Ovis aries: one gene and its partner. The protein of the gene in region 1 binds, or shares a complex with, the protein of each later gene. Links are inferred from orthologs where the notes say so. Each region holds a gene or a part of one and is shown on either strand. Other genes may lie near its edges.

Evidence for each region.
Region 2: the proteins of ESR1 (region 1) and SMYD2 are in contact, whole or in part, in a crystal structure (PDB 4O6F), measured with the Homo sapiens proteins. The link is inferred for Ovis aries from reciprocal best matches to the Homo sapiens genes ESR1 and SMYD2. Residues at the interface, in NP_000116.2 of Homo sapiens: Gly262, Arg263, Met264, Leu265, Lys266, His267, Lys268, Arg269, Gln270, Arg271; in NP_064582.2 of Homo sapiens: Leu148, Val179, Asn180, Cys181, Asn182, Gly183, Phe184, Thr185, Glu187, Leu191, Ser192, His193, Ser196, Ala203, Ile214, Val215, Ser239, Tyr240, Ile241, Asp242, Tyr245, Arg253, Tyr258, Ile302, Arg306, His341, Tyr344, Leu379, Asn380.

Annotation. Positions count from the first base shown.
Region 1 is NC_056061.1:76,877,177-76,892,038, forward strand, and holds the end of ESR1 (estrogen receptor), read left to right. Parts: exon of another isoform or gene 1-1,316; intron 1,317-3,701; exon of another isoform or gene 3,702-3,806; intron 3,807-5,134; coding exon 5,135-5,318; intron 5,319-9,998; coding exon 9,999-10,233; 3' UTR 10,234-14,599; downstream 14,600-14,862.
Region 2 is NC_056065.1:68,716,390-68,731,251, reverse strand, and holds part of SMYD2 (N-lysine methyltransferase SMYD2), read left to right. Parts: intron 1-6,826; coding exon 6,827-6,937; intron 6,938-9,560; coding exon 9,561-9,621; intron 9,622-10,338; coding exon 10,339-10,463; intron 10,464-14,862. UniProt on the Homo sapiens protein: Protein-lysine N-methyltransferase that methylates both histones and non-histone proteins, including p53/TP53 and RB1. Specifically trimethylates histone H3 'Lys-4' (H3K4me3) in vivo. The activity requires interaction with HSP90alpha.

The DNA of each region.
Region 1 (14,862 bases):
TTTCACTTTGCTGTACAGCAGAAACTAACACAACATTGTAAAGTAACTATACGCTAATAAAAATTAATTTAAAAATAAAATAAAACTGTGTTTAAGGAAAAAGCTTGAATGCAGGAAAAAAAGAAAAAAAGAATTGCCAGGAACCAACACCAGTCCAATAAAACATGCATATTCCTTTAACTAGCCTAGAACGAAATAAATAATAGTCTATACATGTACATCTTTTTTAAAAAAATGTAATTTCAGATAATTTCAAAACGGCCATAAAGGAGGAATAACATTGAACTAATTTAAAATAAAATGCTGTATCTTTCAATGCAGATGCTGAGGCTTGACTACAATACAAAAACTGATAAAGTAGTAAAATGCTTACATGTATTTATAATGCATGGGCTTCCCAGGTGGCACCAGTGGTAAAGAAACTGCCTGCCAATGCTTGAGACATAAGAGATATAGGTTCGATCCCTGAGTCAGGAAGATTCCCTGGAGGAGGGCATGGCAACCCACTCCAGTATTCTTGCCTGGAGAATCCCATGGACAGAGGAGCCTGGTGGGCTACAGTCCATGGGGTCACAAAGAGTGGGACACGCCTGAGTTACTGACACTTTCACTTTTATGCATGTGTGCATGTGTGTGCTCAGTTATGTAAAGTAATTATCCTCTAATCAGAAATTTTAAAAAAGGAAAACTCTGCCACAGAACATACACACACACTCACATACACACACACAGAGAAACTGGAACTCAAAATCTTTGTTGGATAATGCATCTTTATGGTATCTATTTTGGTGAGGTGCATTTCTAACTTTAAATATGAAATTATCTGCCCTTTAAAAAAAGAAAGAGAAAAGAAGTCCTTCATTCTTTGGGACTGTCCCACATATTGTAGGATATCCGGCACAGCCCTTCTCACTAACTAGCTTCAGCCACCACGAGCCATCCAACATCCCGCAGGACCCACCGTGCCAGGAGGAGGAGCAACCTTCAGACGTGATGCCTCAAACGAATGTGGCACTCGTGAAACTGTCTGCCGAGAAGGCACTTAAGAGCAAACACACCAGTTTGATTGTGGGAGCCATGCCCAGCAGCACACCTAACAGGCTGATCTGCAGATGATTCACTGAGTCCTTCATGTGCCGAGTCCCCCCAAAAGTTCCTTTTTTATTCCAGCAGAGCAGCAGCTTTCAGGTCTAGACCACTTACAGCCAGGGCTTTAAGGAGTTTTCTTTTTTCCTTTGAGTCATCCCCTTTGCTTTTCTGGTCAAGCTGCTGTGGACACAAGGACTCTCCCAGGATCCACTGTCATATTCGTCCTTCTGGAAAAAGAAAAGAAAAAAAAAAAGGCCTTACTTGAAGACTTTGCTCTGGAGCATCAGTGTCTTCCTTCCTCACTTCTCCGGGAACAGCTGGATGCGCCCCCAACCCAGTGGAGGTCAGCACCCGGGCGTGTGGCCCCGGGTCCTGCTAGTGTTTCCTCTGGATACAGGCACGTGCAGGCGTGCACTGCCGTCTCCATATCTGCATTCTTCCAGCTTCCCGAAGAGAAGACGGCATCATCTGGAAAAGTGACGAAGGGGTAACAAGGGTGTTCCTGCAGGATGGAGTGGAAAAGAGGAAGGAAGGAAAGAAGGAAGAGAGTGTCCGAGCAGAGCAAGAGGAGGAAGGAGAGCGCAGAAGCATGAGGCAGTGAGAGCCAGAGAGGGCGAAAGGCTGAGCTCTCTTCCCTACTGGGTGTCCAGGCGCTTCTGCTCCCCCTTCCTTTCTACCACCAGATTTTTCTCCATAGAGTCTTCCCGAGGCTCCCAGTGTTTGGCCGCAAGATTCAGAATACGTAGAAGCTCGGATTTGCCAACAGCGCTTCGAGCCTGGATAATGACATACAGATTGTTTTTTCCATCTTGGGGATTTGGAGCAGCCTGGGGAGTTGCAAAAGCCTGCCTTGTTGTAAGACCGTTTCTGAAGGCCTGCACTGTCTGATCACTGGCTCCCTGCTGCTGGGAACAGTGGCACAGCTGTCCAGGGTGGCAGGGACCACCTGGGGTATGAAAATTACCAGAAGCCGTAGTTTGGCTCTTGCCAGAGCACCTGAAGCCTTCTGGGAATTAGGATTTCTGTTGTTTCTCTCACTGGCCCCTTAGGAGCAATAGATAACAAACTGGGACCACTTGTGGGTTTTTTTGTCTTTTGTTTTTTGTTTTTTTCCTTGCCAGAAAAGCCCAGCAAGAAGATGGCTGCTGTTGTCGATTATTGGCATTCCAGCAGGACTGTATATTTATTTCTAAGTATATTCGCACAGCTAGGAAGCATCTGCCGACAAGGATGAGATGATAAGCTGTGTTGGTGCCAAAACAGGACTAGAAAAACAAGCTTGTTCTGAGAATGGCAGGTATCCGGAAAGTCAGTTAAGAAAATCAACCCTCTCCAGGCAGTAGCTGCTCTTATGACATTAACATTTAAGAAAAGGCGTGGAATCCCTACTTCTCAGGGAGAGCAGGCTGGAGGGAGGACCAGAACAGGAGGGGGAACCAGCAGTGGGAGGTGGGCTGCACTTCCAGGAGCCTGCATGCCAAGGCTCTGGCCTCCCCTGGCGAGGGGAGGGTGCTACGCGGGGTCTCAGCACGTCCACAGCTCTGTACTGGCCGCTCCCACCCCGGGCGCACAAGCAGGACGAGCAGGTGCAGAGGCGTGGAAGCTCCTCCGTCCTGTGGTTTCCTTGAACAAGAATGGGATGATTGGTGAGCGAGGCCAGCATCCTGGGTGGTAACAACAAAAAAAAAAGGAAATTGGTAGAAAATGCATCAGCCAAGTTGGATTCAGTCAGCTCTGTGGCCTGGGCAGGTTCCCAGGGTATTCCAGCCAGACGGCAGGGCTTCTGAGAGACACCAGGCTAGAATGTGTGTGATGACATAGGGCAGGGAGAGGCAGGGCCGTGGGGCTCAGCAGGGGCTGTCCCGGGCCCCCCAACCCACTGGTGTACACCCCCCTGGCCACCCGTTACCTCCGGGTCCACCCCAAGGCACTGGACATGTGCCCTTTTTTCTAATGGGCACAACCTTTCTCTATCAGAAACCCACAGGGAACATAAGTAACCCAGCAATTTCTTTCTCGTCCCACTGCCTGTCCACTGCTTGCTTATCCTGGGCTCTGTTTCCTTTGGACAAGAACACCTCCGGTTACCAAAAGCTACGTTATTCTATTCTACAGCCTGTAAGCCAGGAGCCTGGCCGTTCTGGTTTTGTTGTTGCTGTATTTGTTTTGAACATTAGCCGTTTCCCATTCTGGGCAGTTACAACTGTGTTTACTATGAGTTCCTCTGTGTGGGAGTTTTCCCCATTTTCATCCTACAGGCTGCGGCGTGAGCAATAACTCATCACTGCGCCACTGGCACAGAGTCGGGGATTCATAAACTGGGGGGCCTTTAACTTGAAAATACCCAGTGCGGATGAGGGGAGGGGAGAAGGAGAAATATATTTATGGGAGGGCCAGTGGGCTAATAAGACCAAAAATAATGTTGCTAAATAGATGTATATCTGGAGGTAAATACCGTGTCATCTGCTCCCTTCAAGGGGATGTGCTTTGAGCAGGACAAGTTGGCTTCTGCAGGCTCACTCGATAGAACATCCATCGCTGCAGTCTCGAGACAAGACTGCTCCATCCTGCCTTCCTTTTGCTTTCAATACTTCTCACCTCTTATCACTCACCTTCCTTGTCTCCTGAACGTCCAACTTTAAGAGTCCGGATTCTTTCAGTTGCAAGTCACAGAAATCCAACTCACACTATCTTAAGCAAACAGGAAATTTATGGATCTGTGTGTTAAAAAGGATATGATGGAAGCTTTAAGGTCCGATGAAAGAAGTAGGGACGAGGACTTTACAAGGGCAACCACGATTTCTCCCCTCCCCCTCCATCACCTCTGCGGGTTGTTACTTGGCTCCACTCAGCAGGGGGAGCTCCTTCTCCTGGGAAGGTGGCACTTACAAGCCCCATATCCTCATCCTCCAAGCACCTCCACCCTAGAGGAAGGAATTTCCATCGACAGCTTCGTATTTGTTGTTGTTGTTGTTGTGCTCACTTGTGTCCAACTCTTGGCAACCCTGTGGACTGTAGCCCACCAGGTTCCTCAGTCCATGGAATTCTCCAGGCAAGACCACTGGAGTGGGTTGCCATGCCCTTCTCCAGGGGATCTTCCCCACCTAGGGATCAAACCTCCGTCTCCGACATTGCAAGCGGATTCTTTACCATCTTAACCACCAGGGAAGCCCAAGGAAGCCATATACAAGCCCTGAAAAAGCTCTGATTTTCTAGTACGAGGCTAATACTATCCAAAGGAACCGAGTGACCAGATTGTCTAATTTTAGTCTGAAGACTATCTGTGGCTCTAAGAGCAGGGGTTTATGACCAGAAGAAAGGCAAGAGGGCACATAAATCCACACTTGGCAATGAAAACAGTGCTCCCCAGGGTCCCTTCGCCTTTCCTATCATAAACCTTTCAGCTGAGCCTGAAAAGTACGAAGGCCCCAAACCTGACCTGAAATGTAGCAGCAGATTAAGTCCTACCTGCATCACTTAATAAATCCCTTTTTCTCACTCTGTGCATCTCACCTAGGGTGTCACGTGTCTTCTGAGAGTTACCATTATAAGACTGGATGTGGAGTCGGCACATTGGGGTTATTCTCAATTCTGCTCTGTCCCGTCGAGTTCACTCCACAAGTTAATACAGTTTCTTTGCACTTTTGTTTCTTCGTGTGAAATGGAGGGATAATGCTGCCTTCCTGGAGCTGTCATCAGCGTTAACAGGATAGTTAGCATTGGCGAAAGTCCTGTCAGAGAAGAGATGGCTGGTACAACCGTCACGGCCCCAAGGCAAGCAGAGCCTTTCTAGGAAATCTTGATGACAAACCCTGGAAACTGGCTCACACACAGGAGGTGACATGAGTTTCCTAGACACATGCTCTCAGACATGTATATTCATGAGGATATTTGCATAGTTGCCTGGACCAAATAGATCCTCAGCTTCTCAGTGGTTGGGCTTGGAGGGTGGGGGCTTCAGAGGGGCACTGTCTCGGTATCACCCCACACACATCCTGGACCTTATCCTCTTTGAGTTTCTCTCTCTCTTCCTCTGCACATTCAGGGGTGTACACATTTCTGTCCAGCACTCTGAGGTCTCTGGAAGAGAAGGACCACATCCACCGCGTCCTGGACAAGATCACAGACACCTTGATCCATCTGATGGCCAAAGCAGGCCTGACTCTGCAGCAGCAGCACCGGCGTCTGGCCCAGTTCCTCCTCCTCCTCTCTCACTTCAGGCACATGAGGTGAGGCCTCCTTGGGTTTCTCTCATAGCAAAGATGTAAGGGAATCCAGCCAACCCTGTGTGGCAGCGGGCCCGGGAAGGGCTGATGCCTGCGTACAGATAACACACTTGGGGCAGTTCTGGGCCCATGATGAGCATGAACACCGTGGGAGGATGGTGGAGGGAGGCCCTGAATTTGTCCGGGGTGTGGGCGGGCGTCAGAGAAGGCTTCACAGAGGAAGCGCTAACTCACGCTCGGTTTGGAGCCCATGCAGCATCTTACATGGGGCAGAGTGTGCGGTGAGCAGGTCAGGGGAGGGGGAATCCTCTTTGGTTATTCACTTTGTCCCAGCCAGTCACGGGCAGTCTGTGAGCACACTCGTCCTCAGAGGGCACTGGGCACATCTGTTGCAGCTCCCGTGTCACACTCTTACTTATGGGTGTAAATTCGAATGAGACACTCTGGGTCCAAACCCCTCATGGACGGTCAGCCTCGACTCTTCTAGCCCTCTCAAACCATTCTTGTCATCCCCTTTGCCATGATCCAAGTCCGAGCCTCCATCATTTCCTCCAGGATGTCTGTCCCAGCTGCCTAACCTATCTCTCCAGATTTAATTTCAGAGCCATTAACAGCCTTTCTCATCTATTCTCCACAGTAGAGCCAGTGTGATCATTTTGATACCAAATCTGATCACACTGTTTTCCTACTTAAAGCCTTCAAATGGCTTCCCCTTGCTTTTAGATGAAAATATAAATCCATTTACTTTGCTTCCATTACTTTTTATCCTCTGCTGCTGCTGCTGCTACTCTTAGATGTTAAGTCGTCTCCGACTCTTTGCAACTCCAGGGACTGTAGCCCACCAGCCTCCTCTGTCCATGGGATTTCCCAGGCAAGAATACTGGAGTGGGTTGCCACTTCCTTCTCCAGGGGATCTTCCTGGCCCAGGGATGAAACCTAAGACTCCTTCTTGGCAGGCAGATTCTTTACCACTGAGCCGCCTGTAGCCTTACTTAACTTGTAGGACTTCCTGGGAGTCTAGGCTCTGGCCCTGATCAGCTGTTCTCTGAGTCAACGGGGAGGTGCTGCAGGCTGCAGGTTGGCTGCACAGCTCTTTTACTTCCTTGGACTCACACATCTGAAGGTCAGGTGATGGAAGCTGGGCACAGCTGGAGGCTCTGCGCCAAGCTGCAGGCCTGAAGGTCAGCTGGGTGACTAACCCGAGTACCTTTTGTCCTCCTTGTACCAACAGGAGAGCTGGGACATGTTCTCATATTGATGGCAGAGGCACCAGAGGGCGAGTCAGTTTGGTGAAGCGCATTTTAATCTTTTAGTTCAGTCCATGTGCATGAACATCCCACTGGGCAAGCAAGTCATACAATAACACCCAAAGTCAAGGATCATGGACACAGGGCAGAGAGTGACTCTTCCTGGACAGTAAGCTAGCCTGTCATAGCTTAGATACGACTCCTTGCAGGAAGCATCTCCTGACCCTTAACACGTAGATGGGATTTACACCCTGTTCTTCCAGATTGTTATTGCCCATTATATTATCTGTCAGCACCATTAGACTACAAATGTAAACTCTGTGAGGCAGTTCTCACAACCCGTTTTGTTTACTCTGTGGACCCAGTACCCCGAAGCATGGGGCTTGGCACAGAGTAACTATTCAATAAATATTTTCTATAGGAGATAAGAAAGGTTGATAGCAGAGGAAATAGAGCCTTTATGCACCAGAAGGCGAAAAGGGCCTTGTTTCTATTCTAAATGCTTGGCCAGGGACTTAGTGGGTACTGTTCCCATGAGCAGAACTTATCCTTCAGGGAACAGATGGAGAAAGTATTAGATTCTTTACTCCAGAAAGACCACACCTGCATGATGAAGTCCCTATGACCTTAGGCTTACTTCAGGCCTCCAGGAATGAAAAAGAGATTCTGTTTCTCAGTGGCTCTGAGGGAAGGGCCAAGGTGTCTGGAAAGAGATTAATTTTTTAAGGGGTCTTTAAACCTTGAAAAACTGTGAGTCAGGTGGCGAGAAGTTCATCCCATCAGAGTCCCAGGTGGCCCCTTTTCTGGAGCTAACTCCACAAGTCGTTAGCTTCTTGAGAAAATAAATGTGTCTTTCTTTCGTTGTAACCCACTCAGTGCCCTGTATGAAGTGTTGGATGCGGTATATGAGCATCACTTCATTACTGAGTGAAGGAGCTGTCACTCATGAAGGAACAGACAAATTACGTGAGGTTTTCCCTGTGAATCTGAAATTCAAAACTGACGGCTCTCACTTGTCAAAGTGAGTGCAGTCTGTGTTCCCAGGAGTCCCCGAGAATCCGGCCAGGTTAAGTAGATCATTGCATTTGGAGTATACATTTTCAGTCCTTTCCCGTCCATTTCTTTTGATGAATATTACACAGAGGGAAGAGGGGGATGGATCAGAATAACATAAGCCTCTACCAACTTTCCTGACTGAGAGAGTAGCCTTCCCCTTGAAGAAAATATATTAGCTTTATTCTGAGCTAGGAATTTGATGGAGAAACCGTGTATCACAGATGAAGGATTTTTTTTGTTGGTGGTGGTGGTTGTTGGAATTGCTGAATTTTCAGATCCATTAACTGCTTGTCAGCATTAGGAAGCCTCGTTAGTTAATACCAAAGTATATTTGCACTGAATATACAAGCCTTGCTACTTTTACTGGCAACAGGTGGCCAAGGGCAATGGCAATGGGAGTTTCTGTTTGAATTGTGTGAAGGGCTAAAGAGGAGTTGCTGTTCTGTTGCAAGCTTTGAGCTGGCTTGCAGACTCCCTCCCTCCCTCTTTCTCTCTCTCTCTCACCAACACTGACAACAATATTGTGGTGCCTCATTACAGCCAATCTAAATTACAGAACTCTGTTGTGTTAAGCTTGGCCCCGACCATATGCTGTCATGCAGAGCATTTAACACCAGATTTCATCTCACGGTAAATGTGATTCATGGGGTTGCAAGAGAAAGACGGTGTCAGATCCAGGGGCATTTAACTTTAACAGCATTTTAAATTAAAACAAACTCAAAAAAAAAAAAAACCCCACAAAATCCCACTTTAAAACGTAATTTTGGTGGCTGTTATATGGCTCGAATTGCTCTGAAGCCTGATTGTTTTCATGGCATGCCTCCAACAAGGGTTGACTTTCCCCTGACTGAAAATGCAAGTAATTTTTAGGAGGCTCTTGGCCTGCCTCCTTATGATACACGATTCTTTTAAAAGGAATTTCAAGGTAGATAATAGTGTTTGGGTTTGTTTGTTTGTTTGTTTGTTTTTTCTCCTGCTGGTGATGTGGTGGAGGAGACAGGCAGAAGTGTGGCTGGTGGAGCAGGACAGTAGGGGAGAGTGGTCAAAGGAGAAAGGCCATTTGCCTGCATTTCCCTGTGTAGCCCATATTTTCTGAGGGTTAACCATGTTCTTGCCACTGTGCTAGGCCTAACGGGGTGGACAAATTGCTACCCCTCGTGGAGTTTGTACTGTGTGTGTTAGGTCTGTGTGTGTCTGTGCTTGTGTGTATGTGCTTGTGCTTAGGGAGCAAGAGTAAAAATACAGGGACTTCCCTGGTGGTCCAGTGGTTAAGAATCTGCCCTGCAGTGCAGGGGACAGGGGTTCAAATCCTGGTCGGGAACTAAGATCCCTCATGCCGCGAAGCTACTGAGCCCTGTGCCACAACTAGAGAGTCTGCACACCAGAACCAAAGATCCTGCATGCCGCAACTAATACCCAAGGCAGACAAGCACAGGTGCTTTAAAAAGAGTAAAAATACACATGTGCATAAATACGTACATAGAAGGATTTCAGGTTGACATGCATGCTGGGAGGAAAAGGAATGACGTTGAAAGAGGCTGGCTAAAGCCACGGGGCCTTGAGCCCTCTGCCCTTGGGGTCGTGGCAGGTCTCTCAGAACCGGTGACACCCGGAGATCTGAGAGAAGTGCCTCCAGGCAGGAGCGGGGAAGAACCAGTGCAGGTACCCTGAGTCTAGGCATAAAGAACTTGGTGTTTTTAAGGGGCAGCATGAAAACTCAGCTGGCTCAAGGTATGGGTTAGGGAAGAGGGACAAAGTCTGAGAGGTGGGTGGAAGGCATGTCAGTCGGGCCTTGCATAGCACAGACAGAAATTTAGATTTTATTCTGAGTTAAATGAGAAGCAGCTGGACAGTTGTGAGCAAGGGAACTTCTTGAACTGTTCTGCATATTTGAAAAGTTCCTTCCTGGACCTTCTTAGTGTTTAAGACTCCATGGTTCCAATGCAGGGGGCCTGGGTTTAATTTCTGGTCGGGGTACTAAGATCCCACATGCCAAGCGATGTGCCCCCCCACTCCACCCCCATAAAAAAACCTCTTTCGTACTTGGTGGCTGGGCAACCCACTCCAGTGTTCTTGCCTGAGAAATCCCATGGACAGAGAGAGGAGCCTGGCAAGCTACAGTCCATGGGGTCGCAAAGAATCAGACACGACTTAGTGACTAGATGAAAACAACAAACACAACTGTTCTCTTTTTAGATGTAGCAGTGATAGAAGAAAGAAAGTCACCTGTATAGTAAACCCTGAACTGGCTCTTGAAGCAGGAGGAAAGTTTGGCATATCAGTGTCCTGGGGCTTTTCTTAGTTGCCCTTCCTCAGCGTCTCAGCCATCCTGGGTCTGAGGCTGGTCTGAGTGGTCCTGTCTGTGTCTCCCCTCCTGCAGCAACAAAGGCATGGAGCACCTATACAGCATGAAGTGCAAGAACGTGGTGCCTCTCTACGACCTGCTGCTGGAGATGCTGGATGCCCACCGCCTGCACGCCCCAGCCAACTTCGGGAGCACACCCCCGGAAGACGTGAATCAGAGCCAGCTGGCCACCACTGGCTGCACTTCATCGCATTCCTTGCAAACATATTACATCACTGGGGAGGCAGAGAATTTCCCCAGCACAGTCTGAGAGTTCCCCGGCTCCCGGCCCCCACCCCCCACCGCCAAGGTTCTGAGAATCCCTGTTGCACTTTACCCACATCATGCATCACTCTAGCCGAATTCTGCCCCTGCACACACTCTTGGCATGCACCCACCACTGGCTTTCTGGTATGGATGGCCATTCATTCGCTCGCTCGGTTCTATGTGGCACGCCTTGTTTTGGGAACAGCCAAAGGGATTCCAGGGCTCATTTCTTTGTAACCGTTCTCTCTCTCTCTGCCTTTGCTACCTTACTCACCACGAGGATTCACCTAGCGCTTCATGACTGAGCTCGGTCTCCGAGCTGGGTTCAGGTGACTGTGCACTTTAGCTACTTGTGACCCAGGCCTGGAGAGTGGACATGTCACCTCCATGAACATGAAGCACTTGTTAACGGATCTGAGCATCAGCCACAGGAAAGAACTGGAAGTGGCTCCTTTAATTGCTGACTTGGAGAAAGCGAGGCCTAGGGTTCATTATAATGTCCTCTTGTATTCCTATAGGTCCATATCATTTTATTAAAGCTTTTTCTCTGTTGCATGGCTGTAGCAGAATATTCAGTGATTGTCCACCCACTTCCCCTATAGGAATACAAGATGCACACAGGGAAGGAAGGCCCCTAACTGTCAAGACTTTGTCAGCTTAGTACACTGCCCCTTCAAATTTGCTAAACGCTTTACCATTGAGAGCACTAAATATATATAGGTCGTGGGTTCCAATTAATTCTCGCTTCCCATGGATCCATGGAAAGCAGCAAAGTTGATCCCAGTTAAGTAACCTCCACATCCACCAGTTTAGATAGATACTTGTCTTTTGTTTTCATTTTCATTTTATAAAACCAAGCCTCACCTCCCCCTTCTCCCCCCGCCCCTCACCCCAGGACTTGCAGTAAATGGGCTTCAGGACCTGTTCTAGTGTGATCTCACTCCTACCAGCAGAGGGCGCTCTACATGACTCTTCCTGGTGTGTCACTTACAAGGTGAATTCCTAGTGCCTAGGCTGTGAAAATCCTTCTTGGAAAATCCCATGGACTGAGGAGCCCGTTAGGCTACAGTCCATGGGGTCGCAAAGAGTCAGACACCACTGAGCGACCTCACTTTCACTTTCAGGCTGTGACCAAGGGCAAAGGAGCAGGCACTCTGGTGACACTTTTAGCCCCGGGACTGTGGGCTTAATAGTAAACGTGCATGATTCTTGTAGGGGCTAGAGACCAAAGAGGGGCAGAAACTGGATAAAACTGTGAGGCTCAGGATGGCCCTGCCACAGGCTGCAGCCACTTTGGAGTGCTACGGGCTGACCCCACAGTGTAGTATGAGGCTGCCCTGGGGTCCATGGAGGGCTGTCCTCCTCCTCCTCTTCCCTTTTGTGCTCCCAGTGACCCTGGTTGGAGGCAAGTGCTCCTTGGGGGAGGAGAGCCAGCGTTGGAGCTTTCTGAACTCAGCCTGCCTGGGGCCTGGTCAGACCACACCTGCCCTTGGTTATTTAGAGCTCATGCAAAAATCAGGGTTTAGCCTCGAGGGGGGAGGAAAAAAACCAAAACTTCTCCATACTCTGTTTCATTAAACTTCCTAAGCCAAGAGAAAAAGACTAGAATTGGGCCATAGGAATCCATTGGACCTATAGATTAAACAAGAAAAGCTCACTAAACAAGAAGCAGCTTCCCTGGGTCTTTGCGTCTCTAAAGCAGTTATGAATTAGTTCCCCTTCTCAGCTATAAAGAAAGTTTGGTTTCCTCTGGTGACCACACTGTCTGTAACTCGAACCCTGTTGATAGGCAATGTGTTAGGCAACAAGCCCAGTCAAGGTTCTAGGGCTTCTCTTGGGATGCCTGTTTCAGAAGTGGATTTCACTCATCTGATTACCCAGTAAGTGACCACCAAAGGGCTGGGAACCTGGGAAGTCCAAAAAAATAAAAAGTTTTTTCACAAGTGCATCTAAATTTGGGGGCGATTTTATGTATCTGCAGTAAGAATGTTTAGAACATAATTCTTATGTTGTTTTTGTTTAAGAAGCACCTTATATAGTATAATATATATATTTTTGAAATTGCAATGCTTGTTTATCAGACAACTGAATGTAGTGATTCTGTTTTGGATTTAATTTGACTGGGTTAACATTCAAAGCCAACAAAAAATATGTTTACTTTTTTGGTATCACTACCTTGTCATGTAGTCATTGATGCCTAAGGCCTGGTGATTATTCATTTAAATGATGATCACATTTTCATATCAACTTTTATATCCACAGTAGATGAAATAGCACTAATCCAGATGCCTATTGTTGGATATTGAATGATAGACAATCATATGTAGCAGAGATTATGCCTGAAAAGGAAAATTATTCAGGGCAGCTAATTTTGCTTTACCAAAATATAAGTAGTAATATTTTTGGACAGTAGCTAACGGGTCAGTGGGTTCTTTTTAATGTTTATACTTAGATTTTCTTTTAAAAAAATAAAAACAAACAAAAAAATTCTAGGATTCTAGATGATGTAATACCAGCTAAATCCAAACAATAATCCAGCAGAGGGTTTTACATTTTTCACATAAGATGTTTGTACTCATGTAAAGACACTATTACATTTGAAATGGGCAGAGAGCACCAGATGGTTGGTATGTTAGCCCAGGAGTTTCAAGTAATTTTAGAAATCTCTTATTCTTAAATGAAGTGCCACTGATGGAGAGCTGATACTTTGCAGCTGATGTTACTCGGATGTAGGGATATGCTGTATTCTTCCCCCCTACTCTGATACAGTTTAAAGTTTGAAAGACAAGGTCAATCAGAGAGGGAGTGGATGGGTTAGTAGAATAGAGTGGGGAAATGGGTTTGGGCATTTTAAGAATGAAAAATATCGTGATAAGAGTCTTGAAAACATTTTGAGGCAGATCAGCACTGGCACTTGGGGTGTGCACCAGGGTTCAGTATTTCACTTGTGTCCCGTTCACCACAAATAGCTGTATATGACAGCTGATCCTATAATGGCAGCTCGAGTTCTGGGGCAGAACTAGAGGCATGTGCAGTACAGTCCAAGAAATAGCTAGTGGTCTGTGTTTCTTTTAGCCATCGCCTAGCTCCAGGCTTGCAGTAATGATTCTGTAATGCTGTCACGGAACAATCATAGAGGTTAGTTCATCCAAAGAGAAGACCCTACGTAGGTTGCAAAACCCAGCCCCTGAGGAAGTGTAGTCATTGATTCAATTTCCCTATTAACCTTGCAACTATATTTAACCATGCCATAGCCCGTGCCTTTTGAGGGCTGAACAAATAAGAGGCTAACTGATAATCCAACTTCTGCTCCCATTTAGATGTTCTTGCTTTAAAATCTTTATACGCTGAAATGGCTGTTGGTTTAGGCCACTGGTTTAGACTATCCCTACATGAAACCAATCCCAAATCTCTTCCTAGTCATACTCCCCACCTCTGAGATGGACTGTGGGTACTGGGAGTGATCACTAGGACTATAGTTAACGTTTGATATTCACAGGCAGATTTGCTTCTGGAAACTAGTTATTAGAAACACATGTAGAGTCATATGTAGCTTCTGAGACAGCCGTGATTCTCTTGGGTTCAAGTCTTGGGATGATGACCCAGATGACGCTGCACACTTCCTGGGTGAACTTCCTGAAAACTTACTGTCAACTGGAGCAAATGACTTCAAGTGCCGTCCCACATATCCACCTTTTCATAGTGTTAGTCTCTGTTTTTAATTGCAGTTCCTTTCCATTTGGATTAACGTGAATGTGGCCTCCTTCTAAGTCACTGAAAATTGTTTTCTAAGTAACTGCTGCCTCTATTATGGCACTTCAAGTTTGCACTGTCTTTCAGAGATTCAAGAAAAATTTCTATTTTTTTTTTCTGCATCCAAATGTGCCTGAACTTTTAAAATGTGTAAATGCTGCCATGTTTCAAACCCATCTTCAGTGTGTTTTTACAGAGCTGTGTACCCTGGAAACCACATACAGCCCCATGAACAGGTGCCTGAGGCACGGACCCCTTTGCATTCACAGAGAGGTCATTGGTCATAGAGACTTGAATTAATAAGTGACATTATGCCAGTTTATGTTCTCTCACGGTTTATAAACAGCGCTTTTTGTGCACTATGTATTCTTCAGTGTAGAGCTCTTGTTTTTACGGGGAAAAGCTCAAATGCCAAATTGTGTTTGATGGATTAATACGCCAATGCATACTATTATTGATGTGATTCTGTTTTGTTGCAGCTTTGCTTTGTTTAATGAAACACACTTGTAAACCTCTTTTGCACCTTACAAAAAACAAAAAAGAATCCAGTGGGATGCTCAAGCACCTTAAACAATTTTCTCTACCTATTTGATGTTCAAATAAAGAATTAAATGAAAGCCTTTTGTTTGTTTTTGTGTCAGCCCCCTGCTTAGCGCTGGCTGCCCAAGATCAGAGTGGTGACATGCATCGTCAGAGCATAGTAAATTCAGGTGATCAGTCTAATGCCAGGCTCCCCTCCAACCCCCACTGACCTCCCGCCCCAGGCACAGAAGGGAATGTGTGGTCCTTGGAGTCAGGCAGACCTGGCCACACTTCTCGGCTCCAGCACATACAAGTTTTATGACCATTGGTCATGAATTTTCAGAGCCTCTGCTTCCTC
Region 2 (14,862 bases), on another chromosome or scaffold:
GGCTCTTTGCAACCCCTGGGACTGCTGCACGCCAGGCTCCCGTGTCCTTCACCGTGTCCCAGAACTCACTCAAACTCATGCCCATCGCGTCGGTGATGCCATCCAACCATCTCACCCTCTGTCGTCCCCTTCTCCTCCTGCCTTCAGTCTTTCCCAGCGTCAGCTTCTTTTCCTCTTCACTGGGCCTTCTTCACAGGCAGACCCCACCCACCTGGAGCCACCAGGGGGTCCACACCACAGAGCAGACGATGGGGGTTGAAAGGAGCTTATCAGTAAATAAGAAAGCAGTGTCCCCAGTGGCTGAGTGACTTGCCCAAGGTCACACAGCAACAAAACTGAGACCAGAGTGTGCAGAATCCCTGGGGAGGGCTTTCACTGCTTTCCAGCACTGTGCCTGGGGGTCCTGAGGACCCTCCAGGAGAAGAGGCGCTGTAGGGATGAGTCAGAGACGAAGTGGCCTTTCATGGAGGTGAAAGGGAAGATCCTTTTAAGTATAAGGTCCACATCCCTGCCTGATAGCGTCCTTCCAGGAATGCAGCATGTTAGAGCTCCTCAGGACTCTGCTTCCTGCACCCAGCCATCCTCTCTGATTGTGTAAACAGTGGCTGACTTCCTCACTGTTTCCATCCTCTCTGATTGTAGGAGATTCTAGGACCATGCTTTATTTTATACAGTTTGGCTCAAGTCTTGTCCCATTTATTCTCCTTTTCATTCATTTGACTCAGTGTGATCCTGCCAGAGGAGAGATTTTAATTGACAATGCATGAAAGGGGTAATGGGAGGAAATATAAAACAAATAGAAATTCCTTTTTTGTTAGGCTCAGTTTGTAAGCTGTGTGTTTTAATGAACTATATTTATTTTTATAAATATGCCTAGAAAACTAAGAGTGTTGTTCACTCAGACTTTTTTGTTAAATTGTACCACGGCACATTGAAGAGAAGAGTTTTAGAGTTATTACATAGAGGAATCATTGTGGAGTAGAACTTTCTAAGGTGTTATTTCTTAACATTGAAAAATAGAAGAAAACGGTTTGTGTGTTGTAAGTGGAGGTGTTAGGATTACGAGTGTGATTTTGAAAGCAGGAGGGGGCATGTTCTGATGAAGATTGAAGAAAGCATGTATAAGGAGTATGTGACCAAACATGTGAGAACATTCTCGACTTTTATCACCAATTACAAAGTAACTGAAGTGTAGAAAATGTCTAAGAAATGCTCCCATGACCCTGTCATTTTTTGGGTGATCAGTGAGTGGGCTAGAGTCATGGGGTTTAGTCCTGGTTAAACTCTGTTCTCTTCATTCAGACATAGGAAGCATCCTCAAAGGAGCCACTGATTTTTTCCTGTGAATAAATGGTTAACATCACCAGTAAGAATCAATGAGTGTGTCCCATCACTCTTTTATGGAAAGAGAAAACAAAGCAGATAGGGGCCAGCAGTGGCTGTCATCCCGGTGTCATCCCGGTGTGAGGTAGTCGCTAAGCCCCTGATTCCTTTTGCATTCTTCCTCTCACAGAGAATAGTGGTGAAGAACAGTAGTCCTGTGACATTTTCTTACTATTCCACATTTTATGAAATCACTTATGCATGCTACTCTGCTTTTCAGGAAATCACACAGGCATGTATATAAATAAGTTCAGTTCAGTCGCTCAGTCATGTCCGACTCTTTGCAACCCCATGAACCGTAGCACGCCAGGCCTGCCTGTCCATCACCAACTCCCAGAGTCTACCCAAACCCATGTCCATTGAGTCGGTGATGCCATCCAACCATCTTATCCTCTGTTGTCCCCTTCTCCTCCTGCCCTCAATCTTTCCCAGCATCAGGGTCTTTTCAAAAGAGTCAGCTCTTCGCATCAGGTGGCCAAAATGTTGGAGTTTCAGCTTCAACATCAGTCCTTCCAATGAACACCCAGGACTGATCTACTTTAGGATGGACTGGTTGGATCTCCTTGCAGTTCAAGGGACCCTCAAGAGTCTTCTCCAACACCACAGTTCAAAAGCACCAATTCTTCGGCGCTCAGCTTTCTTTGTAGTCCAACTGTCACATCCATACATGACCACTGGAAAAACTGTAGCCTTGACTAGACAGACCTTTGTTGACAAAGTAATGTCTCTGCTTTTTAATATGCTGTCTAGGTTGCTCATAACTTTCCTTCCAAGGAGTAAGTGTCTTTAATTTCATGGCTGCAGTCACCATCTGCAGTGGTTTTGGAGCCAAGAAAAATAAAGTCAGCCACTGTTTCCACTGTTTCCCCATCTATTTCCCATGAAGTGATGGGACCAGAGGCCATGATCTTCGTTTTCTGAATGTTGAGCTTTAAGCCAACTTTTTCACTCTCCTCTTTCACTTTCATCAAGAGGCTCTTTAGTTCTTCACTTTCTGCCATAAGGGTGGTGTCATCTGCATATCTGAGATTATTGATATTTCTCCTGGCAATCTTGATTCCAGGTTATGCTTCCTCCAACCCAGCATTTCTCATGTACTCTGCATATAAGTTAAATAAGCAGGGTGACAATATACGGCCTTGATGTACTCCTTTTCCTATTTGGAACCAGTCTGTTGTTCCGTGTCCAGTTCTGACTGTTGCTTCCTGACCTGCATACAGGTTTCTCAAGAGGCAAGTCAGGTGGTCTGGTATTCCCGTCTCTTTCAGAATTTTCCAGTTTATTGTGATCCACACAGTCAAAGACTTTGGCATAGTCAAGAAAGCAGAAATAGATGTTTTTCTGGAACTCTCTTGCTTTTTCGATGATCCAGCGGATGTTGGCAATTTGATCTCTGGTTCCTCTGCCTTTTCTAAAACCAGCTTGAACATCTGAAAGTTCACGGTTCACATATTGCTGAAGCCTGTCTTGGAGAATTTTGAGTATTACTTTACTAGCGTGTGAGATGAGAGCAATTGTGTGGTAGTTTGAGCATTCTTTAGCATTGCCTTTCTTTGGGATTGGAATGAAAACTGACCTTTTCCAGTCCTGTGGCCACTGCTGAGTTTTCCAAATTTGCTGACATATTGAGTGCAACACTTTCACAGCATCATCTTTCAGGATTTGAAATAGCTCCCCTGAAATTATGGTCTAAATTGAAAGCCCCTTTAGAACAAGAGTAACACCAAATGCAGGAGTTAGAAAAGGGGATTTCACAATAAAAATCCAGTCTCCTTATACAGGGAGACAATATATCATTTGCTCAGCAGAAAACTGGCTGACATAACAATCACTCTTTTCTTCCAGCGTTGGAAGTGCTGGTGTACCATGAGACAATTTTTCAACTCTTTATGCATCTTTAAGCATTTCGGTCCACACACGCACAAAAAGGAAAGTCATGCAGAGCTGTGGTTACAGTGGCTGAAAATGAACTAGAAGTTTAAAAGGGTGTCAAAAAAATTCCCTCTCATACTTTTTACATAGATTTAATTGTTTAAATTTATTGCATGAATCATCTGTGCTCATTATAGAAAAATCAGAAGTTTCAGACTGAAAGAGGAACAGAAAGAGTATCCATACTTCATAATTTTATCCTTCCAGAGAAAACCGCTAGTAACACTTTGGCATGTGTCTTTCTGAATCTTCCCTATGCATTTGTTTATAATATATTACTTTCCTAGAAAATGGGATCCATCTGAATTTTCATAAAGTTTTATAAAGATTGCAACCATTAAAAGAGTAACAGCTTAAATTTTGAAGGAAAACTGGAAGCCAAGTAGTGCCACTTTGGTATGTCTCTGACATTTCCACCATCTGACAGAAAAGGAAAACTTCTTACTAGCTGACAAATTTCCCCTGATGAAACTTAGCATAATGCTGCCGGTCCTTGAATTTACCCAGCTCTCTGATTTCACTGCTCTGTGTGGGTCTTCATTACATTCTAGGTGCTCTTGCTTTTCTTTGTGTTCGGATACAGTCATAAACGACTTGAAGTCAAAGACTCCATCTCCCATCCCTGCCTCTGGGGTCATCAAGGGCTTATTGAATGAATGAAGGAACCAGGACATGAACAATTACCAGCATTTGTTGAGAGCACGTTGTGTGCCAGGCACTGGTCTGAGTGCTTCTTGTGGGTTAGCTTGTTTATTGGATCCTCACAACGACCCTTTGTGGTTGCATGAATGCCTGATAATGGTAGGCTTCAAGCTTTGTGTCTGATTATCACTGTTGGAAGGCATACAATCGTAGACTCGGAATTCCAGACCTGCTAAGTAACTTAGGGATCATGTTATTTACAGCCGAGGATACACAGGCAGAGGGATTAAGAGGACTGTCTGGTGTGACATAGCTGCTTCGCTGGAGGGTGGGGTGAGAATGCAGGTCTCCCCGAGCCCCAGGCCAGTCTCCTCTTGCTAAATAGAGCTCTGCTCTCCCCCACAGCGTGCGCTGTAGTGAGGTTCTCTTCCCTGGAGGACATTAACATCAATAGATGTCAGCATTGTGTGTTCGTATTTATTTATTTATATTCGTATTAATTAAATTGTATTAAAAACACATAAGTCATATTAAGAAATGTTAAACTTTTTTCTCACCGAAGCTCGTTGTTAAACGCCAAAGACACCATGTATACTTCAGGAAACTAGCATGTTTAAGGCCATGCAAACACCTTTTCTTAGCACAGCTAGGGTCACAGTGAAATTCCTGTGTGTGTTCATAGGCGTCAGTTGCCCGTCTGTCCCCCACTAGCGTTCTTCACTTCCTTCGGATGCCCCAGGGCCAGAAGCCCTTGTTGTCTTTCCCTTTTTGCTTTGCATTTGTGTGCGGAGTCGGTTTGTCTGCTGGGAGCTGAACCTACCTGTTCCTACCTCGTTGCTTCATCACCGAGCTCTCGTTTTAGGCTTTGGCTAAAAACAGATCCTCTTCTCCCTTGTGTATATCTTGTCATTTCTGTCTCTTCTTGCTCTTGGTTATATTCGGCATGCTGTTATTTAACTCTGCAGAACACCTTGGCAAGTGCTTGAGCCCAGGGTCTGTGCCACGGGGGCTGCATTAAATCATTAAGTGACAGTGTGTCTTTCCTTCTTGGCCGTGGGGAGGGAGACATCGTCATTCATTCAACAACTTTATTGAGTGCTTAGTGACTGTCAGGCACAGTTCTAGGTTCTGGGCAGATGAATAGTGGGGGCAGGGGGGAAAACGTAGTAAACCAAACATCTAATCAGTGTGTAATAAATATGTCAGGTAGACACATAAAGCAAGGAAAAGGGAGAGTGGTGGGGGGAGAGCACTGGTTTGGGGAGGGTACCTTGAAAAGGGGCATCAGAGCAGAGACATGGAGGAGGGAGGGAGCCAACAGGACGTCTGGGGAAGAGGTATCTCTCCAGGAAATGCAGCAAGTGCCAAAGCTCTCAAGGCAGGAGCAAGCGTGGTCGCTCCAGGGAGCAGCGAAGAGACATGGTGGCCGGGTGGAGTGAGGTAGGGGAGCGTGGTGGGGGTGATGAGCTCAGAGTAGCAGAGAGTCAGCTCCTACCACGTGTGGCCTCGTGAGTCATCATTACAGCCTGGCCTTTTGCTCCGAGGGGAGAAGCCATTAAAGCATGCTGAGCCGTGAATGCAGGATCTGAGTTGTGTTTTTCAGAATCGATTACTCCGGTTGCTCTCTGGAGCGGAGCTAGGGGTGGGGTGGGGGGTGGAGGGGGCAGAAGCAGGTGTCCAGGTAGGAGGCAGAGGGAGCCGTCACGGCGTAGGTGTAGGGTCTGCCACCCAGTGAGGAAGGTGCGGGTGGGAAATGATCAGAGGCTGAGTGTATTCTGCAGGCAGACAGGATGGATTCACTGGAAAGGTGAACATGGAGTGTGGGGGAGAGAGAGGCGGCCAGGAAGTCTCCAGGTTTCTGGCCTGAGCATTGGAAAAGTCAGACTTGCCCCTTTCTGAGGCAGGAGAGGCAGAGGGAAGCCCACAATGGTACCCAGTTCCGTTGCAGCAAGGAGTGTCTGCAGACTTCCACTGAGTCCGCTCCCACGGCCAAGCCCATCGCACCACCACAGCTGGTTTTTATCAGAGCCTGAGTGGCTCAGCCAGTTCCCAGCCATCCCCCGCTGACCCTGTTACCAGCACCAGCATCGTCCTTTACGCCCCGGTCCTCAGTGCATTCCTCCCCAGCACCCCACCCTCCTCCTTCCCCAGTCTTCCCGTCGCGAAAGGGGCATCTCCACCCTTCGAGGAGTGAGCACATGCCCTTCACCCCGCAGCCTGGGGCAAAAAGCATTGAGACCGGTGTTAGAAAGGCGTCCAGTTTTCCTCTTTTATCCAGTGACTTTTCAGGGAGTCTGTGTCCTAAATATTCCCGAGAGTTGCCCTGGCCAGACTTTTCACGGGTCCTTGATCAAGCCCTCGTCTCTGGTAGGATTTTATCACCCATAGAAGAGGATGAGGTGCTGTGGATGTCACTTCTCAGTTATTTGCCCTCATGTGAGAACAGAACCAGACCAGAACCGTAGGGAGCAGAGCCAGACCAACAGCTGATACCCAAGTCACTCACCCCGTGACTGGCATGACAGCGTCCACAGATAATGCAAAGGTGTGCGTGGTGTTCGGAATAGTGAGGGGCGTGAGATGCTTGAGGAAACCACACAAAGCAGATTTTCTCTTGCCAGCAAGCTCAGCCAGGCCTGAGTCAAGGTCATACAGCCACGTCTATCTTAAAGGATGTTTTCGTCTCTAACTTTTGTGAGCACCGTCGTGTTTTCCAAAAGGAAACATATTTCACTTGACCTCAACTAGGAGAACTTGCTGCATCCTCTTGTTTCGAACTTTATTGCCGTGTCTGTGTGTGTGTGTGTGTGTGTGTGTGTGCGTGCATGCACATGTGTGTGTGTGATATATTTTTTTTTAACTTTCCCAGAGAGAAGATTGGCCCATGCACAAGCTGGAATGTTCTCCCATGGTTGTTTTTGGGGAAAATTGGAATCCCTCCGAGACTGTAAGGTTGACAGCAAGGATTCTGGCCAAACAGGTGAGGAATTGGGAACAGGTTCAAGTGTGTTTTATTTTTTTACTCTGAGGTCAGAAAGATGAGTGAGTGACCCGTGGTGATCATCTCTCGCTCAGCATTCTGGGACCGCATTTCCCGTCACGTTCCTATGGACAGAGATGAGTGCAAGGCTCCAGGAGTGAGCTGGCTTGTCTGCCTTGTGCACCTAGGATGTCACTCATCCCCGGCCGGGAACATAGCCGCTGCTAAGTTCTGAGCTTTTATATGAGACAGGTTTGCATAGAAAAATACGGCCTCTCAGGGCATGAAAACCTGAGTGACAGTAATGAGAGCGTCCTAGGGAACCAGACTGGCCTTCAAAGCTTTGGGAGGTCCCCTCTTTCCTTCTCTTACAGCATGCACCCCTGCTGCCACCTCCCCTCACCCCCCGTCCTGGGCTGGCTCCTGCTCTTCCCTGTCTCCATACTTGTCCTGCCTCGGCGGGCAGGGAATGGGGTGAGATAACCAGCATGGCACCTGCTGGGAGAGAAACAAGAGGAGTGGAAAAGTAAAAATCAAGGCCGGGGAGGTGGGGTGGGAACGATGTGGCCATCAACAGTTTCCTCCAAAGATGAAGCCAGGGCTGGCTGTCCTGACCCCTTTTTGGCTCAGTCCCGTACTGATTGCATGATAATAAGACACCTGATCTTGACAGGACCAGCTTAAATGGAGGGGAGGAAAATGCCACAAGATGTGTCCTTGTGACGGTGAAATGGGCTGCACGGAGCTTGAAAGGCGAATGTCCACAGAGCTGCTTGCCAGTGATAAGCTGCGGGCAGGGCCTCTGTACTGGAAATCTTAAAGCTGAAATTTCATCTGCCCCTTCTGTCTTCCCTTACCACACCTCCCTCCATTTAAAAACTTTTGTTTTCTTTTTTTTTTGATCGAAACCAAACGTGATCATAATGGTCGACTCAAATCTGTCCCCAGACCAAGTTAGGCTCCTCGACCTCGTAAACAGAAGTAGAACATTTTGAACCTCTGAGGTCATAGTTTCGTTATGTTCAGCCTGGGTCAGGTGCTTGATGAAATGCCACTTCGCCCGCTCAGGGTAACCAGAGGCACTCAAGGCTGGCCTTTAGAGTGGGAACGAAAAGTCAGAATTGTTTTCGCTGGAGGAGGTTAACTTTTGGTTCCTTGCTCACAGTTGTCTTTAAATACAGGCCAAGTACTTGGTCGGAAGAAAAGGGTAGGAGAAAATGGTGTGACTGGGTGAGTGTATGTGGGTGTGCGTTAGTTGCTCAGTCGTGTCCGACTCTTTGCGACCACATGGACTGTAGTCCCACCAGGCTCCTCTGTCCCTGGGATTCTCCAGGCAAGAGTACTGGAGTGGGTTGCCGTTTCCTTCTTGAAGGGATCTTCCTGACTCAGGAATCGAACCTGGGTCTCACGCATTGCAGGCAGATTCTTTACCGTCTGAGCCACCAAGGTGTCAGGGTAAATAAGCCATCAGATTCAATCCGTAAGCACCTTGCCAGGATTGAGTGACCAGTCTCCTGGTTCTCCCCAGGCCCCATCTCCTGACATTATTGAAAGTGTGGTGGTTAAGAATTCAGAAGGAGCTGGTGCCCTTTTCTGAATGAAAAGTTTTCCCAGGCAAAATGACTTACTAATCTTATAGAAATGGATCCTATGAATGGGAAGATTTCCACTCCAAAAAAGAACTATTGAAATGTTTTGGCCCCAGGAGGGTAGTCTGAAAGCTATGATGAGTTTATACCAGTTTCATTCAACTGTTATTATAATTACTGCTACCACTAATAGTCTATTAAATGAAAAGTTACCTGGCCATCTTTTTATCTCTGTAGGACTTAATGATTAAAAAAACAGACCATTTGTATTCTAGTCACTTGCAAAGGTTTCAGGAGGGGGACAGGCTACCCAACTACCGAGGGGAAGCGTAACATGTTAACTAGGGAGGTGAGCACGCCTGGGTGGACCACCTGTATCCTCAAGCTGAATAGCCCGATTACAAAGACACGGCCTTGGGCCGGCTCTTGAGCTCTGCGTTTGAACTCTTGTCAACACCAAGTTTATTCATGTTCTCAAAGCCTGGCGGATTTACTATTGTCAGCTCCTCTTGGGGTGTCTAGAACAAAGCCGGCAACACGTTTCAAGTGAATCTCGGCTCACGGATACAACCGAAAGTGTTCTTTTTGAAACGCAGGAATTTGAGATCATTTTAGCCTATGCTTAAAGAAAGTGTAAAATGGATGGGGGGGTGTTGATTTTGTTCCTTTTTAGAAGGAGAGATAATAAATGGGATGGCTCATCTGTAGACTCGGTCCTTTTAAGTCGGGGCCCTAAAAAGTTGTTTTCTAGCCACTGTTCTTTCCCATAACAAGCATTTTTGAGCCTACTGTGTGCATAGCATTATCAGGGTGTTAGGAACGCAGCCGATGCTTTTAAAAGCTTTTCAAAAGAGTCCTTTGGGTTTGGACGTTGGGCAAATGCTCTCAGAGCCCAAATGGCAGAATCCTTGGCTTCCTCTTTACTTCATTTAGAACCGTTGCTTTTTTCTTCATGTTGATGTAAGCGTGAAAGCACTGTTTTTTGCACAAGTTGTTGCCGTCTGTAACTGTGTGATTTCTTCCCCAATTACTAGAAAATCCACCCAGAGAGAACACCTTCAGAGAAATTGTTAGCCGTGAAGGAGTTTGAGTCACGTAAGTCTGTCTGTGACTGGCTGAGGAATTATTTCAGCCACATGTTTTCTGTGGATTAGACAGGATTGAAAGAAGGAAGGGATAGCTGGGTTCTTTGTGGTGGTGGGGATTTTATAGTTATCAGTTTTTATTTTGACTTGTGTGCTGTTTTGGAAAATGGACTATAACTTCCCCCCGCCCCCTCAGTTGACAGGATTGCTAGGAAATAATTAAGGGGAAGTGCGAACTTGCAGGATAAATTATTACATCCTGAGCTATCTCTTGCTGGCTCTCCTGGCATGTTGAATATTTTTTGGATCTTTGCTGAATTGCAGTCCTGTACACAGCTGATGTCCTTACTGGAGGCATTAAATCAGGGGCTGTCCACTTTCTCCATCATGATACAGACTCTGGGGCCAATTGGGGGACCCTTGACTAGACCAAGGCTGGTTATCAGTCACTGCCACTATTCCTGACCTCACTGTTAATGGTCAGTTGAAATTCCCTGTCCTGAGTGACTTCCATTTGTCAGAGGAAGAGAAGGAAGAAATGGCATGCTCTTTTTGCCCTAGGGCTTATTAGTTAGACCAAGGGAGGAGGGATAATATTTCCTGGGGGCTCCACGTGTTTTTTTTTTTTTTTTTTTCTTTCTCTCTATGCCGTTGATAGTACTGAAAGGATGTATAGCTAGAGATCCAGAGTTTTCTACGTGCTGAATAATGGTTTGTTTATCCACAGATCTGGATAAATTAGACAATGAGAAGAGGGATTTGATTCAGAGTGACATTGCTGCTCTCCATCACTTTTACTCCAAGCACCTTGAGTTCCCCGACAACGATAGCCTAGTAGTGCTCTTTGCCCAGGTAAGCACGCGAGTGTCAGGCGACACTTAGTTTAGCCTTTCCCTGCCAGTGTCCCTCTCCCAGCACATAGCTGGTGAAGATGAATGAAAGCAGAATGATGCCTACCTGATACAGTTCTTGACATCTTGGTCCATGTTTTGCCTAAACTGACCTTGAGCAGATCAGGGTCCTGTCTGTGCTGGCCCTCACCGATGGTGGAGCGTAGGAAATCCACCCTCCCTGTGCCTCTTGCTGCAGAAAGAGTTTATGCAAACAGAGTTGCCAGGGTCCCAGAACTGTGGGAGACTGCAACACCTTTGGATGGAAAGACCATTTGAGATTCCTACATTCAATTTTACTCTTCTCTTAAACCTTCCCGTCTGACAGTAGTGGATTGTAGGTTTTTGTTTTTCTTTATTCTTTCTTTTTTTACTCTTACCAACACTGTGTTGATAAAGCAGAGGCAAATACAGATGGCCAGGAAGGACAGACATCACAGAGAGGAGCCTGAGTGGGTCTAGGTACAGTAGGTCTTTCCCGATGATTGCTAAGTAATCCTGTGTAGACTAGAAGCCTAGATTTACCAAAATCAGATAGGATTAAAAAAAAAAAAATTAGACTTCTAGACAAGAGCCACTTAAATGCATCAAGGAACTGACGACCAACCTTTTGGAAAGGCTGAGGCTTGGCTGGACTTGGCCAGGACAGGAGAAGACAATGTGGTCAGCACCCTGGGCTGGACGCGTGTGGCCGCATCCTTCCTCCTGTTTCTGTGAGGGTGGCTCTTCCTGGCCTGACTCACCAGATCAGATTTCTCTCCCTAACATACGCTTGTGTTTTCCCCTACAAGCCGAATGTGTAGTTGAAGGTGACCTTCGCAGAGGGAGAAACACTGGAATACTGTTTTGTGGGCGCAAGTCGCTACACTCCCCTGCCTTCAGTGTCTAGACAGGAGAAAAAGCTCGGGTGGGTACTTACACACTGTCGTCTTAGAAGAGAGTCAGCATCACCTCGGTACTCTTTGAGTCACTAATTCCATTTTTAGGACTCTATCCTAAGAAGTAGTCAGAAATTATGGACAAAAATTGACATGCAAATTGTTTGCTGTGTGGTTCTTTTTAAAAAACATGAAACCAAAAAGAAAGGGGAAAAAGGCAAAGGAAATACATGTTATAAATGGTCAGCAGTAGTCATTAGGTAAATCATGGCTTAGATTGTCAATTAAAGTTTATATAGCCTTTATAAATTATATTTCAAAGAGCAAAGATATGTGAAACGCTGATGACATAACGTCAAGTGTAAAAGCCGGGGAAAAATATGTAATATGAAAATTTACTTTGGTTAAAAAAAAAGCTTAAATGGAAGTTCACCATTAGTTATCTCATGAGTCGTGGAAACTTTTTACTTTTTTGGGGGTGATTTTTCTGGATTTTCTACAGTGAGTATTGTAACTTAAGAAAATAGTGAAAAGAAGAGAAGATGAAAAGCACCCATAGTTCTCCCACTTTAAAAATTGCTCCTATAAGGAAAGAGGTGAGTCTTCACCACTTCACTGACCTACTTCATCCCCCAGTGAGAACTAGTGAGAACAGTTTGATGAGTTCCTTAATAGACTTTATGTTTATGTGGGGTTTTTTTTGTTATATGACTGTCATAATCAGAAAAAAATGCTGTTCTCAGTAAAAGAGAAAATGGGTTCAAGTCATGGGTGTTAAATTAGACATAATGAAAAACCTTCCTGATTTCATTATATTATCCTGGGATTACAGCGTATTTCCCTACCCATGCTAAGGCAATGGATTTGGGTAACAGTACACAGTGGAGGAATTGACTTCTCCTATTACATTTTTAGAAAAACTTGGATATATGACTTTTCTGGATTAGATGAGGCATGGTTTTGTGAGAAAGAAAGAGTGATGAAGTAAACATAAGGTATCTTTTCACTTCCAGCAACAGAGTGGTGCATGCTGATGGGCCTTCTCAGTGTTGACATTGTAGATATGGGACCATACTTACCAAAAATCAAGGCAGTTGATGTCACAAATCAGTTCAGTTCAGTCGCTCAGTTGTGTCCGACTCTTTGCGATCCCATGGACTGCGGCATGCCGAGCTTCCCTGTCCATCACCAACTCCCGGAACTTGCTCAAACTATGTCCATCGAGTCAGTGATGCCATCCAACCATCTCGTCCTCTGTCGTCCTCTTCTCCTCCCGCCTTCAATCTTTTCCAGCATCAGGGTCTTTTCAAATGAGTCAGTTCTTCGCATCAGGTATCCAAAGTAATGGAGTTTCAGCTTCAGCATCAGACCTTCCAATGAATATTCAGGACAGATTTCCTTTAGTATGGACTGGCTGGATCTCCTTGCAGTCCAAGGGACTCTCAAGAATCTTCTCCAACACCACAGTTCCAAAGCATCAGTTCTTCAGTGCTCAGCCTTCTTTACAGTCCAACTCTCACATCCATACATGACCACTGGAAAAACCATAGTTTTGACTAGATGGACCTTTGTTGTCAAAAATAGAACTGTTAAATTTGTGCTGAAAGTCACTCAGAGTCCTTGAAATTTGGACTGACTTAGAGTATTCAGGGGATAGATACAGACACACGCACACACATATGTAAATATAGGTAAGTAGTTTTTTCAAAGGCTTTATATTAATCAATATAATTAATGGAGATATCATTCCCTGGAGAAGGGAAAGACTACCCGCCCCAGTATTCTGACCTGGAGAATTCCATGGACTATACAGTCCATGGGGTCGCAAAGAGTCAGCGACGACTGAGTGACTTTGACTTTCATATTAATCAAATCATAATATCCACTCTGAGACGGTGCACATACACACCGATGTACATACACACGCACCTTCATGCCTTTTCTCACATACAAATTTGAAAGGGGACATTCGGTATCCCCAAAGAAAACTCTGAAGCGCAGGTGGAAAGCGCTGTCCCAGCCCCAGCCCCTCTGGCCCTGCTGCTCAGCGCCCTCCCCCTGCCCCCCGCATGTCCTCCCCTCTGGCCTTGGAGCCCTTTCCTGTCTGGTTCGTGGGAGGCTGTTGTGGGTTAACTCGTGGCCCAGCAGCAGCTGGCAGCAGAAGGTGACTGCGCTCCTTCGACAGCACCGAGGCGCATTTTAATCACCAGGAGCATATGCATGGTTGGGAAATGTTTTTTTGGTGTGCAGCCTACATCTAGTCTAAATGCTAATTATGAGAATAGCTTCAGCAAGGCACTTACGCCTGATTTGACTCGGAAAAAAAAAAAAAAAAGACGATGGCCTATGCATCTTTCTTAACAGGCAAGTTCACTTTTCTTCCCTAGGGATCTTTCAGAAGGGAGGGAAGGCTCGCAAGCAAATTGCTAGGCGATTAGGCTTGAACCTCACCGCCAGCTCCCCGATGACACCTGCGTTCACAGGAGTCTTTCTTTGTGGTGGAAACGCACTCTCCCTCACAGTAAGAGGACAGGGAAAGGGAATAAAGGGGCCCGTGGGCGTGAACATCAAGCCGGAAGGAATTTGGAATTACAAACGGTCCTTACAGAGGAAGAGATTACAAAGCAAAGGCGCATGTCTGGGGCCCTCACCCTTCAGAGCTAGTCAGGAGCTGTCAGTCCAGAGATCCATTGTGAAAATTGCTACATTCTTACACGCCTTCTTCCACTTTGCAAAATTTGTTGTTGTCCTATGGGAACCAGACACGGCCGAGGCATGTTAGTATCCCAATCCGAGACTGCGTATAGATCCCTCAGTACCTGGTCAGGTGCAGGACGCATAGTTCAGGCCTCAGTAAATTTAGCTGAATGAATGAAAATCCTGATTTACTCTTAACCCGATGTTGGTTGGTGGTCCCTGGTGAATGATGGTTGGTGAATGTCCTGATGACAGAAGAGGTTAGAGTACCTGAGGCCCACACAAAACACAGTATGCTGTGTTTTCTACATAAAAATGCCTGACACCTCAGGATTCCAAAGACTGTATATTGTTTTACTCACTGCAGTCATCTCTTTTTGCGTTGAAAATCGTAAATACTGGTTGTAAATGTATCGAATGGTTAAAGCTGTAAGTCAAACCCATCGGATTCTTTACTTCTCTATGTACCAAGATTTCCAAGCCTTTGACACAGGCCCTTTGCTTTTAAGTAAAATTACAACCAGAAGAATCAGAGATCAGAACAATTTTAGAAGAAGCATGGTATGGTGAAAAGACACACTTGTGTTTCTGACAGCCTCACTATTAGAATGCCTAGTTTGACTTTTGACTCCTTTTCTGCCACTTGCTACTTATATGGCCTTGCATTACTTAATCATTGACCTCCCTGGGCCTCAATTTCCCCATCTGTAAAATGGGATAGTATTGTAGATTTGAGGGAGGGTCAATGTGCAGCACCCAGCCCAGTGGGTAGTCTGGACTAAGCGC